2 linked regions of the Mus musculus genome follow. The protein of the gene in region 1 interacts with the protein of each later gene in a biochemical or structural test. Links are inferred from orthologs where the notes say so. Each region holds a gene or a part of one and is shown on either strand. Other genes may lie near its edges.

Evidence for each region. The genes of interacting proteins can lie anywhere in the genome.
Region 2: the proteins of Spi1 (region 1) and Mecp2 form a complex in vitro, tested with the Homo sapiens proteins (2 studies listed by BioGRID). The link is inferred for Mus musculus from reciprocal best matches to the Homo sapiens genes SPI1 and MECP2.

The regions. Positions count from the first base shown.
Region 1 is NC_000068.7:91,109,452-91,115,367, reverse strand, and holds part of Spi1 (transcription factor PU.1), read right to left. Parts: intron 2,114-5,916; coding exon 1,923-2,113; intron 1,124-1,922; coding exon 958-1,123; intron 294-957; coding exon 1-293. UniProt on the Homo sapiens protein: Pioneer transcription factor, which controls hematopoietic cell fate by decompacting stem cell heterochromatin and allowing other transcription factors to enter otherwise inaccessible genomic sites.
Region 2 is NC_000086.7:74,082,264-74,088,279, forward strand, and holds the start of Mecp2 (methyl-CpG-binding protein 2), read right to left. Parts: upstream 3,428-6,016; 5' UTR 3,324-3,427; coding exon of another isoform or gene 3,247-3,323; intron 1-3,246. UniProt on the Homo sapiens protein: Chromosomal protein that binds to methylated DNA. It can bind specifically to a single methyl-CpG pair. It is not influenced by sequences flanking the methyl-CpGs.

The DNA of each region.
Region 1 (5,916 bases):
CAGGCCCCCACGGCCCAGCACCTCGCCGCTGAACTGGTAGGTGAGCTTCTTCTTGACTTTCTTCACCTCGCCTGTCTTGCCGTAGTTGCGCAGCGCGCGCGCCATCTTCTGGTAGGTCATCTTCTTGCGGTTGCCCTTCTGGATGCCCCAGCGGTGCGCCAGCGCCTCCTTGTGCTTGGACGAGAACTGGAAGGTACCTTTGTCCTTGTCCACCCACCAGATGCTGTCCTTCATGTCGCCGCTGCGCAGCAGGTCCAGCAGGAACTGGTACAGGCGAATCTTTTTCTTGCTGCCTGTGAGAGATGGGCAACCAAGTGGTGTGTGGACAGGATGCAAGGATTTTATGGGGACCCTCCCACCAGCTCCTCCCAGCCATGGTAGGTGCAAGCACACACGTGCCCACTCCCACTCAAGTGCACACCCCTCCATATATACAAATCCTCATAGATATGTCACGTGTATCCATACATATACCCATATCTGCTCTCACATATCTACATGCCTATCCAAAGGCCTTCACACGCAGGCACTCACACACAAGACCTACACACTCACAGGCCTTCCTCCCACACTCATAGGCCTTCACACATTCACAGGTACTCACACACATGACCTCACACACTCACAGTCCTGTATACACCCAGGCCTTCACAGATATACATACAGTCTCCCATTCACACTCCTACACAATACTGATGCACACACAGACTCTCACGCACTTTGAAATGATGCCTGTTCATTCACAATACAGACAGACTTAGAGACCTGTACAGGTAGAGAAGCATCCACAAACACGCATGTGTGCATACACATGCACATGCACATGCACACACACACACACACACACACACACCTCTGAAACATGGCTGCTGGGCCAGTTGACCTTGGCTAGGAATATGCAAGGTTCATAAATGTAAATGCAGCTACAGTCACTGGATCGGTGATGCTGGACCCTACCTGTCTCCCCGTGCAGAAGACCTGGCCCAGGCTCCAAGCCATCAGCTTCTCCATCAGACACCTCCAGGGGAGGGCTCTGCCTCTCACCCTCCTCCTCATCTGAGCTCTGCTGGTGGGCTGGGGACAAGGTTTGATAAGGGAAGCACATCCGGGGCATGTAGGAAACCTGCAAAGGGAAGAACAGGCGTGAAGTCCATAAGGGATAGCCCAGGGCTGCAGGAGGGGTCAGCAGGGTCGAGGACTAAGAAGGGAAAACTAGGGGCCAGTCTGGACCAAGACTCAGGGGTGCAGGTCTTGGTACAATGAGTTGTTAGTTACCGAGCCTACCACCCTTCCAACTGTGGCCTCTGGTTTAGGGAAGATAAAGGTATATCTTTACGCATGCAAAGGGGCCATGTGCCCTGGCAGTGCACTAGGAATAGTGGGAAGGTTCTGGGGAGCAATGAGCTGGGGCTTAATACGGAAGTGAGTGAGCCTTAATGAGGGGGTGATGAGCCAATGAATGGGCAGTGAAGGTCAGTGAGGGATGGCAGAGATCAATGGTCGGGGTTAGGACCCTGGAGCAGAGAATAGTCAGCAATGAGGATCAATAGGGAGCCAGGAGGTCTGCAGAGGCGAGCATTTAGTGACTCAGAGTCTGGGTACATGGAGAGACAGAAAATGGGGACTATAGGCAGTGGAACCCTGAGGGTCACAAGCAGGAACAGGGTGAGAGAAGATGGCCGAGGACTAGTGGATCATATGGGATCTATCCATCGTGTGTGAGACTAAGGTGTGGGTCCCTAAGGTCAGGCGGGAGGTCAGCACAGCTGTTGGGGTACCAGCTGCCGTTGGCTCTGTAGATCAGGAAGCCACGTTGAGTAAGAGCCTATGTCAGCTTCCTGTGAAGGTTCCATGCCTCACCACAGGCCTGGAGGTCTGGGGTGGGGAGGGGAGGTGGACAGAGGACAGCCAGCAGCACACACCTGGTGACTGAGGCCGGTGTGGGGTGGCACCATGGGAGTATCGAGGACGTGCATCTGTTCCAGCTCCATGTGGCGATAGAGCTGCTGTAGCTGCGGGGGCTGCACACTCTGCAGCTCTGTGAAGTGGTTCTCAGGGAAGTTCTCAAACTCGTTGTTGTGGACATGGTGTGCGGAGAAATCCCAGTAGTGATCTATGGGAAAGCCAGGGGGGAGGGTGTGAGCCAAGGTGCCCGGGCAGGGAGATGATAGAGTAACATAACATAACCATTCAGGCTGGGCAGAAAGTACGTTAATCATCTCCTGGAACATTCACGGACTCCACCGCTGCTTTATAGAAAGGACTCTGAGGCGCAGAGAGGTTTCCTAACATGCCAATGTTAAAGTCCCTAATGACAGTCACACCTGGAGCTGTCACCAGCAGCCACTGGTGTGGCTTCCTGACTGGGCCCAGAGACACAGACTTCTGAGCCCTCGTCTGAGTCCTGGCTTTGCCATCTGTTGGCTGTGTGACCTCAGCACAGGCCTAAGCCTCTCTGGCCTCAGTGGACCCACCTACAAAATAGGTAGAATTGCTATTGGGCGAATACACATAAGCTCCCACTCTAGACCCACAGCAGGCCTTGGAAAACGGCTTCCCCTGCCTCTGTGACCTTCCACAGACTCCTGGCTATCTAAAGTCACAAGCATGGGTCCTTGTCACATGATCAGGGTGTGATTGCAAAGTCACGGGGCTGACATTTCTCACATACCAGAGTTTGTCCAAACCTACAATGCTGCTTCTGTAAAACTACAGGCAGGGGCAGCCACGCCCAGGTTCCTGGGAAGCTGAAGGAAGAGATTTCCCCAGAAAGCCCCTATGGGTGTCTGGTGTCTGTGGAAGGGTGGACCCAACTCTAGGAAGCAGCCACATAGCTCTGGGTAGATCTGTGATGTGGCTTCTCCCTACACCTTTTCCAGGAACAAAAGTTGCTGCCTATCTGAGGGACTTTTGGGCACAGTTTGGTGTATGGTATGGAGCTAGCGAGATGGCTTAGCTGGTAAAAGCTCTCACCACTGAGCCTGACGACCTGAGCTCAGCGTGCGATCACACATGAACATACACACGCATATATCAATAAATGAATTTAGGAAGAAGAACGAAAAAAATGAAAATTTGGTGTTAAAAGAGGGATTTCCTCATGTGACCTGAAGGATGTGGAAGGTGATGAACCAGGGGAAGTCCTCCAGTAACCACGTGCATTTGTATGTGTGTATGTGTATGTGTGTGCATGTGTATATGTGTGCATGTGTATGTGTGTGCATGTGTATATGTGTGCATGTGTATTGTGTACATGTGTGCATGTGTATGTGTGCATGTGTATGTGTGTACATGTGTGCATGTGTATGTGTGTACATGTGTGCATGTGTATGTGTGTGCATGTGTATGTCTGTGCATGTGTATATGTGTGCATGTGTTCATGTGTATATGTGTACATGTGTACATGTGTGCATGTGTATATGTGTGCATGTGTTCATGTGTATATGTGTACATGTGTACATGTGTGCATGTGTATATGTGTGCATGTGTATGTGTGTGCATATGTTCATGTGTGTACACGCAGGCACGCATGCCTATGATCTTGCTTTTTCTTTGTCTCTCACACAAACACATCCTTTAAGAAATGACATATGCTTTCCAGCTGTGTACCAATACCACAGGACTCTTTTTGTTAATTGCTTACTGGGAGGGGCCAAATATGCTGTGCATGCGTAGAGGAACAGAATCTATTCCCTCCTTCTAGAACCTCAGGGGTCCCAAGATCAACCTCAGGCAGGCACAGTAAGCACCGTCATCTACTGAGCCCTTCACTCATCCGTATTCGTGTGTTTTTGAGGCAGGGTCTCACGCAGGCTGAATTTGAACATGTGATCATCTCGACTTAGACTTCTAAGTTTGGGCTTACATGCCTGGCTCTAGCTTTCTCATCCTGCTGAGCAGTGCTGGGCTGTATGAGCCTAAACACCTTTTTTTTCCACTGAGCCTCTGATTCCCCAGTTAAAAGGTTGTTACCAAGGCTCTGTCCATGTGCCACATCTTCTGAGTCTGGCAGCGGGACCCATCTCTAGGAAACTGCGGCACAGAAGAAAAAGTGCATGCTTTGGAGCTTCAGACAAACCCGGATGCATTTACTGCTGCATGCTCCTGGGCCTCAGTTTCCTCATCTGAGTGAGTAGTTTATACCCATTTTATCCATACACTGTGAAGGGGTAAATGAGCTATCTGATGCCCAGAGGGTGCTTAGGATAGAACATGGCACAAAAGGAGAACATTTATTCCCGTACACTCATACTGGCCCTAAAGAGCCTGCGCTAGCACATCTGTAACTTCAACAACCAGAAAATAGAGGAAAGAACATGAAGGCAAGCTAGGCATGATGGCACATGCCTTTAATCCCAGCACTCCAGAAGCAGAAGCAGAGAGGTCTCTGAATTCAAGACCACCCTGGTCTACACAGTGAGTTCCAGGCCATGTAGATAAAATGAGACCCTAACTCAAAACAAAGGTCTGAGGCCTGAATCTGGAGAGGTAGCCTGGTGGTTAAGACCACTTTTTCTTACAGAAAACCAGAGTTAAGTTCCCAGGGAGAGACAGGGGACAGTAATGGCGGTGACCAAGAGGAAGCTGGGTCTGCAATCCGAATCACAGAGCCCCATTCTGTCCTTTCGGGTTTAGTGACCTTTGATGTCGGTTCCTGGGGCTTGATTTTGGCTGTTGAGTTCACATGGCAACTCCCAACCTCCTGTAACTCTAGCTCCAAAAGATTCAACAGCGCCCTCTTCTGGACTCCTAAAGCATAGACATGTGTGTATATACACAAACACACACAAAATCACAGACACACCCACAGAGAGAGATAGGGAGAGAGACAGAGAGAGACAAATAAATATTTAAAAATATGTTTTTAAAAGTTTGAGGCCATCTTGGCCTAGAAAGCAAGATCTTATTTCAAAATAAAACAGAAAGCCCAGGGCCGTAACACTGTAGTGAAGGCACTTGTCTCTCATGCGCAAGGTCCTGCATTTGAGCCCCAGGACCAAAATCAAAGGTCACTAAACCCGAAAGGACAGAATGGGGCTCTGCAGTTTGGATTGCAGACCCAGCTTCCTCTTGATCACCACCATTTACTTTCCCCTGTCTCTCCCGCAGCCCGTTCCAGCTCCAGGGACAGGAACTGTGAGTGTTTGCTGTCCTCTAGGTGAGAGATGAGAGGCATTTGACCTAACTCTTTCTGGCCCCACCCCACCTCTGCTAGCTCTGAAGCCTAAAGCAGCATTTCCCAAAGTTGTTGTGGATGACAGACAGCAGTGAGAAGCACTGTGGGGAAATGTGGGCCTCTGCTCCCTGCTCTTGGTCTCCTGAAGGCGATGGCCAGGATGCCCTGCGCTACAACAGTTTCAAAACCTCACCTTTCCCCTTGATTTGGGTGCCCAGGCAATTATGTAACCAACAGTCTGGTAGGCAAACTCACTCCAAATTTGGGGCCCCCAGAGAGAGTGTCCAGGAAGTGAGTCAGAAAGCAAAGGTCAGCCTTTCTGGCCCCCTGAACCTTATTTCTTGTGTTTTACTCTATAACCCAGGCTGGCCCAGAACCTATGAGACACGCAGTCTGAGATAGCCTTGAGTTCATGGTGATTCTCCTGCTTCATTACAGATTTAAACCAACATGCTTGGCTCTCTCTCTCTCCCCTTTCTTTTCTTTTCTCTTTTGTTCTGTCATTGTCTTTCCTTCCTTCCCCCCTCCCTCCCTCCCTCCTTTCTTCCTCCTTCTTCCTTCCTTTTGAGACAGAGTCTCGGGTAGCACAGGCTAGCCCCAAACTTTCTGTGTAGCAGAGGATGATCTTGAAGTCTTGACCCTCCTGTGTCTACGTCCCAAGTGCCAGGATTACAGGCATGTGCCACCGTACCTGGCTTGGACAATTCTTTGTGAATGCAGTGTTTAACTTGGCTTTGTCC
Region 2 (6,016 bases), on another chromosome or scaffold:
AAAATGAGATATTCTGCCACACTTCCTGGAATTCTCTAGTCTAGGCTGCGCTTAAAAACACTGGCTACTAGAAATGTCATTGTCCATCAGTCTATGCTTCCCAGAAGTAGTTCACTGGTGGTAAACTGCTCTTAGCCAATTAAAACATTCCCCACCGAGTGACCTGTTTTTGTGGAACTCCCATCAGAGGGAGTGGGGAGCTCTGTCACTTTTGGCATCCCCTTCCTCCTAGTGGGCTGCCTTAATATGAGGGAAGGTGACTAGTCTTATTGAAACTTAATATGCCATGCTACATTGATATGCCTGGGAGGCCTGCCTTTTCTAAAGGGAAAAGGATGAGTGGATGGGGAAGGAGAAGGGAGGAGTGAGGGACTGAGAGGAGAGGAGGAAGTGGAAAATACAGTTGGGATGCAATATATGAGAATAATGAATAAAAAAAAAGATTCTCACTGACAATTACCTTTAGAAAAGATAACAGGTTCCAGGATATATCATTTACCATGCAAACAAACTAACACGTTTACCTCTGCTGCTCTTTATTTTAGGTTTAAAAAAAAAAAAAACTTCTCAGGAGTTCATGGGTGGAGTTGGGGCACTGGAACAAGGGTTTAGCTGATTTCTCCTTAAACTCCATAGCTTTGCCTCCCTATCCCCAATAGATTAGGCTTCATAGAAGCAGATCAGGTAGAGTGAACCACTCTATCTGGAAAATACACAGATTGCAAAAACATATCATAACCTTCCAAAATCTTTGTGGTCTATGTGTAGTCTTTGTGGTCATATGTACCTCAGGAGTCAAACAGCACAAAAAACAGAGTAGAAGGCTAAGGATGTGGAGTGATTGCCTAGCATGCATGAGGTCCTGGGTTTGACCACCAGTATAACAATAACAAAAAAAAAAAAGGAAAAAAATAATCCTTAGAGTACAATGGACAACATGATGCTTTCTTCTTCAGTGAAATAGTGACCTGTTACTGTAGCTTTAAAGTACTCAAGACACATTCTCATGGAAAGAAAATAGGCATATGTGATAGATCAATACTAGCAAGAAAGCCATACAGTTTCTTCAAATTCTTAGGACACACTAGCTTCAGATGTCACCAGGCACTTTGAAAGGAAACTGTGTTCTAGAAGTTGCTTACGATGTTTAAAGAGCTATGGGTACAACAAATAGATAACCAGAGGGGCACCTGAGGAAGCAAACCTGTTGTAAGAATATAAAAACAAAGTAAAGGTTCCAACTCTGAGCTCAGGCTCAGATGTACAAACCTTGGAATTTTTTGACAAGCAAGACTTGGGTGTGTTTGTGAAAGTGAATGCACTCTGTCGGCCATGTGTATTAACTCATTTTAGATCATTTGTACTTTTACAGTGTTTGGACTCTTTAAGGTTCTGACATATCCAGGTAAGAAAATAAAAGCAAGTGTTTCCTAGGCTTTCTGAGTATGACTTGAATTTGAAGTTAAAAACAAACGAAAAACCAAAAGTCTGTAAATATATTTTTCCAAATCCTTGGTGGAAACTCCCCAAGGACCTAACAATCCAAATTTTATCTTTTTATAGAGATTCGACATATTTCAAAGAACCTAAGATATCAGTTTAATCATGTTATTAATTGAAATTGCTGAGATTCACATAATTCCAACCACAAACCCAAAATTCTCCTCTACAGTAATAATTACCTATTAGTGAAATTTTACTACCCAGGCCCAAATTGGTTTCATTTATGTAGTATAACAAAATATCTAGAACTTGTCCTACAACATCTCAGTCACTTAGCACTATAAATTAGTCCATTCTGTTTCATGATCGTCATCAACCACCCTGTATTTGAGCCTACTGCCTCACTGTAATGATTCCAAACAGTGGAGTCAACATGCAAATGACTCAACAGAGCCCATTTGTGTTCCTGGAAAATTAACCAAGAGTACATATCTGCCTGACTATGAGTCAGGAATATCAAATTTGTGGTGGAGCCCATTTTTGTTTTGATCAACCTATACCCGAACATACAAGGAACCAGCATAGAGGTATCCCCTAACAAGCTTTGCCCTTCAGGGGTCCATACTGAACAATGTCATACCAGGGTCTCTCTTGTGAGAGGGAATCTTTTTTAGACTCCATGATGACTTTAAACCTTTAGTGCAAAACCTCAGAAACATTGCCACTGCCACATAAAAGTCACCTGTGTTTTATTTTCAGTGATTCAGCCATAACCAAACTAAAAAGAGAATGAACTTTCAAAGATAAGTGACAGGAGTCACAGCGATGCGATGATCTCGCCCCATTTGGTACTGGCGATCCTGAGCGCTCCAGGACGAAGAGAGCCCGTTACATACAACGTCCCATTCCACTTATGTAACTGGATGATCGCTGGCGAAGGGAGGGGAGGGAGGGTGGGAAGACGCTCATATTCCGAAGCCACAGCACAGCATCCCCAAAGAACCAGAGCACCCTGCGGGCATGGTCTCACGGAAGAGCTTCGAGTGCTGAGGAACGCACAGTCCCTTGCCCACGGTTCCTGATGAGAACTACAACCATCTCTTTATGATGAGTTGTGGGACCTAGGAACATAATGTCTAGTCCTTTTTGTGGGTGGACAATAACCCTCAACTTGTTCCTGCCAAGTGGGGAATGGAGCTGATGGACCGACTCGCTTGCAGTGGGGGCAAAAAGTCACGGAATGGGAGAGGAGGAGGAGGGAGCAAAACCCAGAGATGGGGGTAAGAGCTCAGGAGCCCTTGTGGCGCACTCTCCCAACGGGAGATGGACTGCGCACGCGCGCCAGTCTGTGTGTGTGAGGGGGGAGCAAGTAACGGGAGTGGGGGCGCGCGAGGGAGAAGGGGACAGCGCGATCCAGGGAGAGGCCGGGACCGCGGGCGCGCGACAGTGCCGAGGCCCAAAGCCCCAAGAAGGGCAGGAGCGCGCGCAGCCCCAACTGGCGAAGCCCAGACGACAAGGGCGCTTGCACAGCTGGGGCCTAGGATGCGCACAGATGGGGCGGGCAGCGGGAGGGCGTCATTCGAAGGTGGCTCCAGGGAGATCGCGCTGAGAACCGTCGCTCGCGATTGCGGGAGACGAGTGGAGAAAGCCACCACCGGCGGCAGAGGGAGGGGGAGGGTAGAGAGGAGGGACGCCATCCGCCAGCCGTGTCGCCCGACCCCGCGGGCCCCTCCCGCGCCACGTCCCGCCCCTACCCGCCCCCCAGCAAGGGTCCCCGCCCGCGGCCTTGGCGGTCCCACTCACAGTCTCTCCTCCTCGCCTCCTCCTCCTCCTCCGCTCGGCGCGGCGGCGGCGGCGGCGGTGGCGGCAGCGGCGGCCATTTTCCGGACGGGTTTTACCACAGCCCTCTCTCCGAGAGGAGGGAGCGCGCGCGCAACCGATGCCGGGACCCCGCACGGCAGACGTCGCGCCCCGCCCTCCCGACCAGCCTGTGTGCTGCTGCACCTGCGCGCCCGCGCCCCACCCCTTGCTCTTTGTCGAGATTACCCTTCATTGGTTGTGGAGCCCAGGCTGGGGCGGAGCCTTAGCGGTGACGCCCTCAATTGGCAGGAGTTCCTGTCTGTTTAGGCAGGGAAAAGAGGCGGACCCCATTCAGCTGCGGATTGGTGGAGTTCTACTGTCACTTGGAAAAAAGAGGCGGCTAGGGCACAGAGGGGCTGGTTTTGTGGGCAGCATTTGAATGTTGAGGATTAACTGGGCCCTTGTGGACTCTGGCGCTTAAGGAAGTCTAGGCTCTTGGCGCCTATTAGAGCCTCCCTGCTGAGTAGTTCACCATTGTGATAAGCATTTGACTTCACCAGCATTTCTTTATTATCATTTTCTGTAGAAGTAGCAAAGTTGCCTGTTGAGGAGCCTGGCGTTGTTCCAAGCCAAGGGACTTGTTTTAAAGGGTCTACTGATTGTATTATTACACTAAATTAGCAGATGTCGCACTCTTAAGGCTGACAGTAAAATCAACATATCAAACCTTGGTCTTTGCAGACGTTTATAATGGGCAGATGGTGTGTGCCAAGCCCATAAGAGATCGGTCTGTCATTGTTGAATCAGATGGTTTGATGGAAGTACGTATAAAAGGGAGTGAGGCCAGAGGGAGCATTGTCAAAGCAGCCTTACCCTGATACCAGTCAGCATCCAATGCTCTTTGTGCTAAACAAATGCTCAACAAGAGACTTTCTTTCTTTGTTTGTTTTTTAAACACTATGCAACAAGAGACTTTCTGATTCAAATTTGGCTCCCCTCTCTATTCATTTATTTGCTAGGCACTGTTTTAGTACTGAACAAGGAGACAAACTAGACTCCTGGTAAGGAAGAGTCATACTAAACATACAAGAAAGTAGAACTTAAAATTTTGCACAGAGATAAAGACTTTGAAATAGATAGGGCAAGGACAAAAGAAGTGCTATTATGATACCCTCTAGCTTTTGCCCTCATGTCGTCTCCCAATATGGGTAATTGGGGAAAACATTCTAGGCAAGTTTAAACACTCTAAGGAAGGACTATGCCTGCCTTACTAAGGAGGCCAGTGTGACTGGAGAGAGACCTAGGCCACCAAAAGAACTAGGAGATTATTTTGAGATGAGAAGCCCTTGATAAATATTTGAGTCACTAGCTGTCACCATAAAACCTATGTTGCCAGTGAAGAATGAAGAACTGGCTGGTCCAGAGGTCCTGGCAGCAGTTGAAGAAAGATAGATGATGAAGGCTTTAACCAGGACAGTAGCAGTTGAAATCTGATAAGTTGTGATAGTTAAGATTTATGTTAAAAATTGAGCCAAAAGTATTGGATATCAGATGGAAAGAAAGAAAAAAAATAAGGATGATGGCTGACTTTGGGACAGGATCACCTAAGTGAATATCTTACTACAGTGGGGGAAATCTAGAGGATTTCCCATATGGCCATTCTAAACCATTTGTAATTCTAGTCTCAGGGAATCCTGTGCCCTCTTCTGACCACAGTGAGCACCAGGCAAAACACTTATACACATAAAATACTAAGATAGAAATGTAAAAAACAAGTGGGTAAGAGTGGTAGTGTGTGTGTGTGTGTGTGTGTGTGTGTGTGTGTATGTTGGGGTGTGAGAATACAGGTATTTGCATATACAGAGAATAGGATCTGAACTTGGGTCCTCTGCAAGAGCAACAAGCCATCTCTCCAGCCACACCTTCAGGCTGAGTTTTATTCCACGAATGCAAGGATGGTTTAAAATTAGAAATCAATTATAATTTTAAGAACAGATCATGTGAGTATCCCAATACATGCAGGAAAAAGCATTTAATAAAATTCAATACCTACATATGATTTTAAAAACACCTTAAAGAACTATAATTAGAATGTCCTTAATCTGATCAAAATGTCTATAAAGCTGTAGAGGAAACATGATATTTAATTGAGAACAAAGCAAGAAACAGCAAGATCTACAGTGCAATATCATTCACAAAAATAAAGTACATCATTTTCCTACCTTGTGAAATTTTGGGAAGAAAATCTTAAGTTCCTTAAATTAGATAAAAGAGATTTAAATGACATATTTTATACTTGCACTAAAAAAAAAAAATAGAAAAAAAGGCATATTGTACCAAAAGTATTTTAGCAGTAGAATTAAAAGGAGCCATTTAAAAAATGAGAGTGTAGCATTTAAAAATAATATTCCTTTAAAATGGGGAGATAGAGTCTGAGGATAAAACGTAATGGTAGAGCACTTGCCTACCACTCATAAAGCCCTGGATTCAATCCCCAACATAAAAAGTGGGGCAATTACAACCAGGAAAGTATACTACATGTATATATCTCAACAAACTGAAGAATTTTAGCAATATGGAAAATAGAACACACACATCCACTCTATCCAAAAATCTGTGGGAGTGGTGGGACATTTTTTTTTAATTCCAAAATGACAAAGAAAAATGAGAAAGATGACACAGTTCAAAATACTGAAGGCACATCCCATATGATGCTACACAAGTATAAACACAATTTGACTTGAGGATACTTATGTAATATCTCCCAAAACCA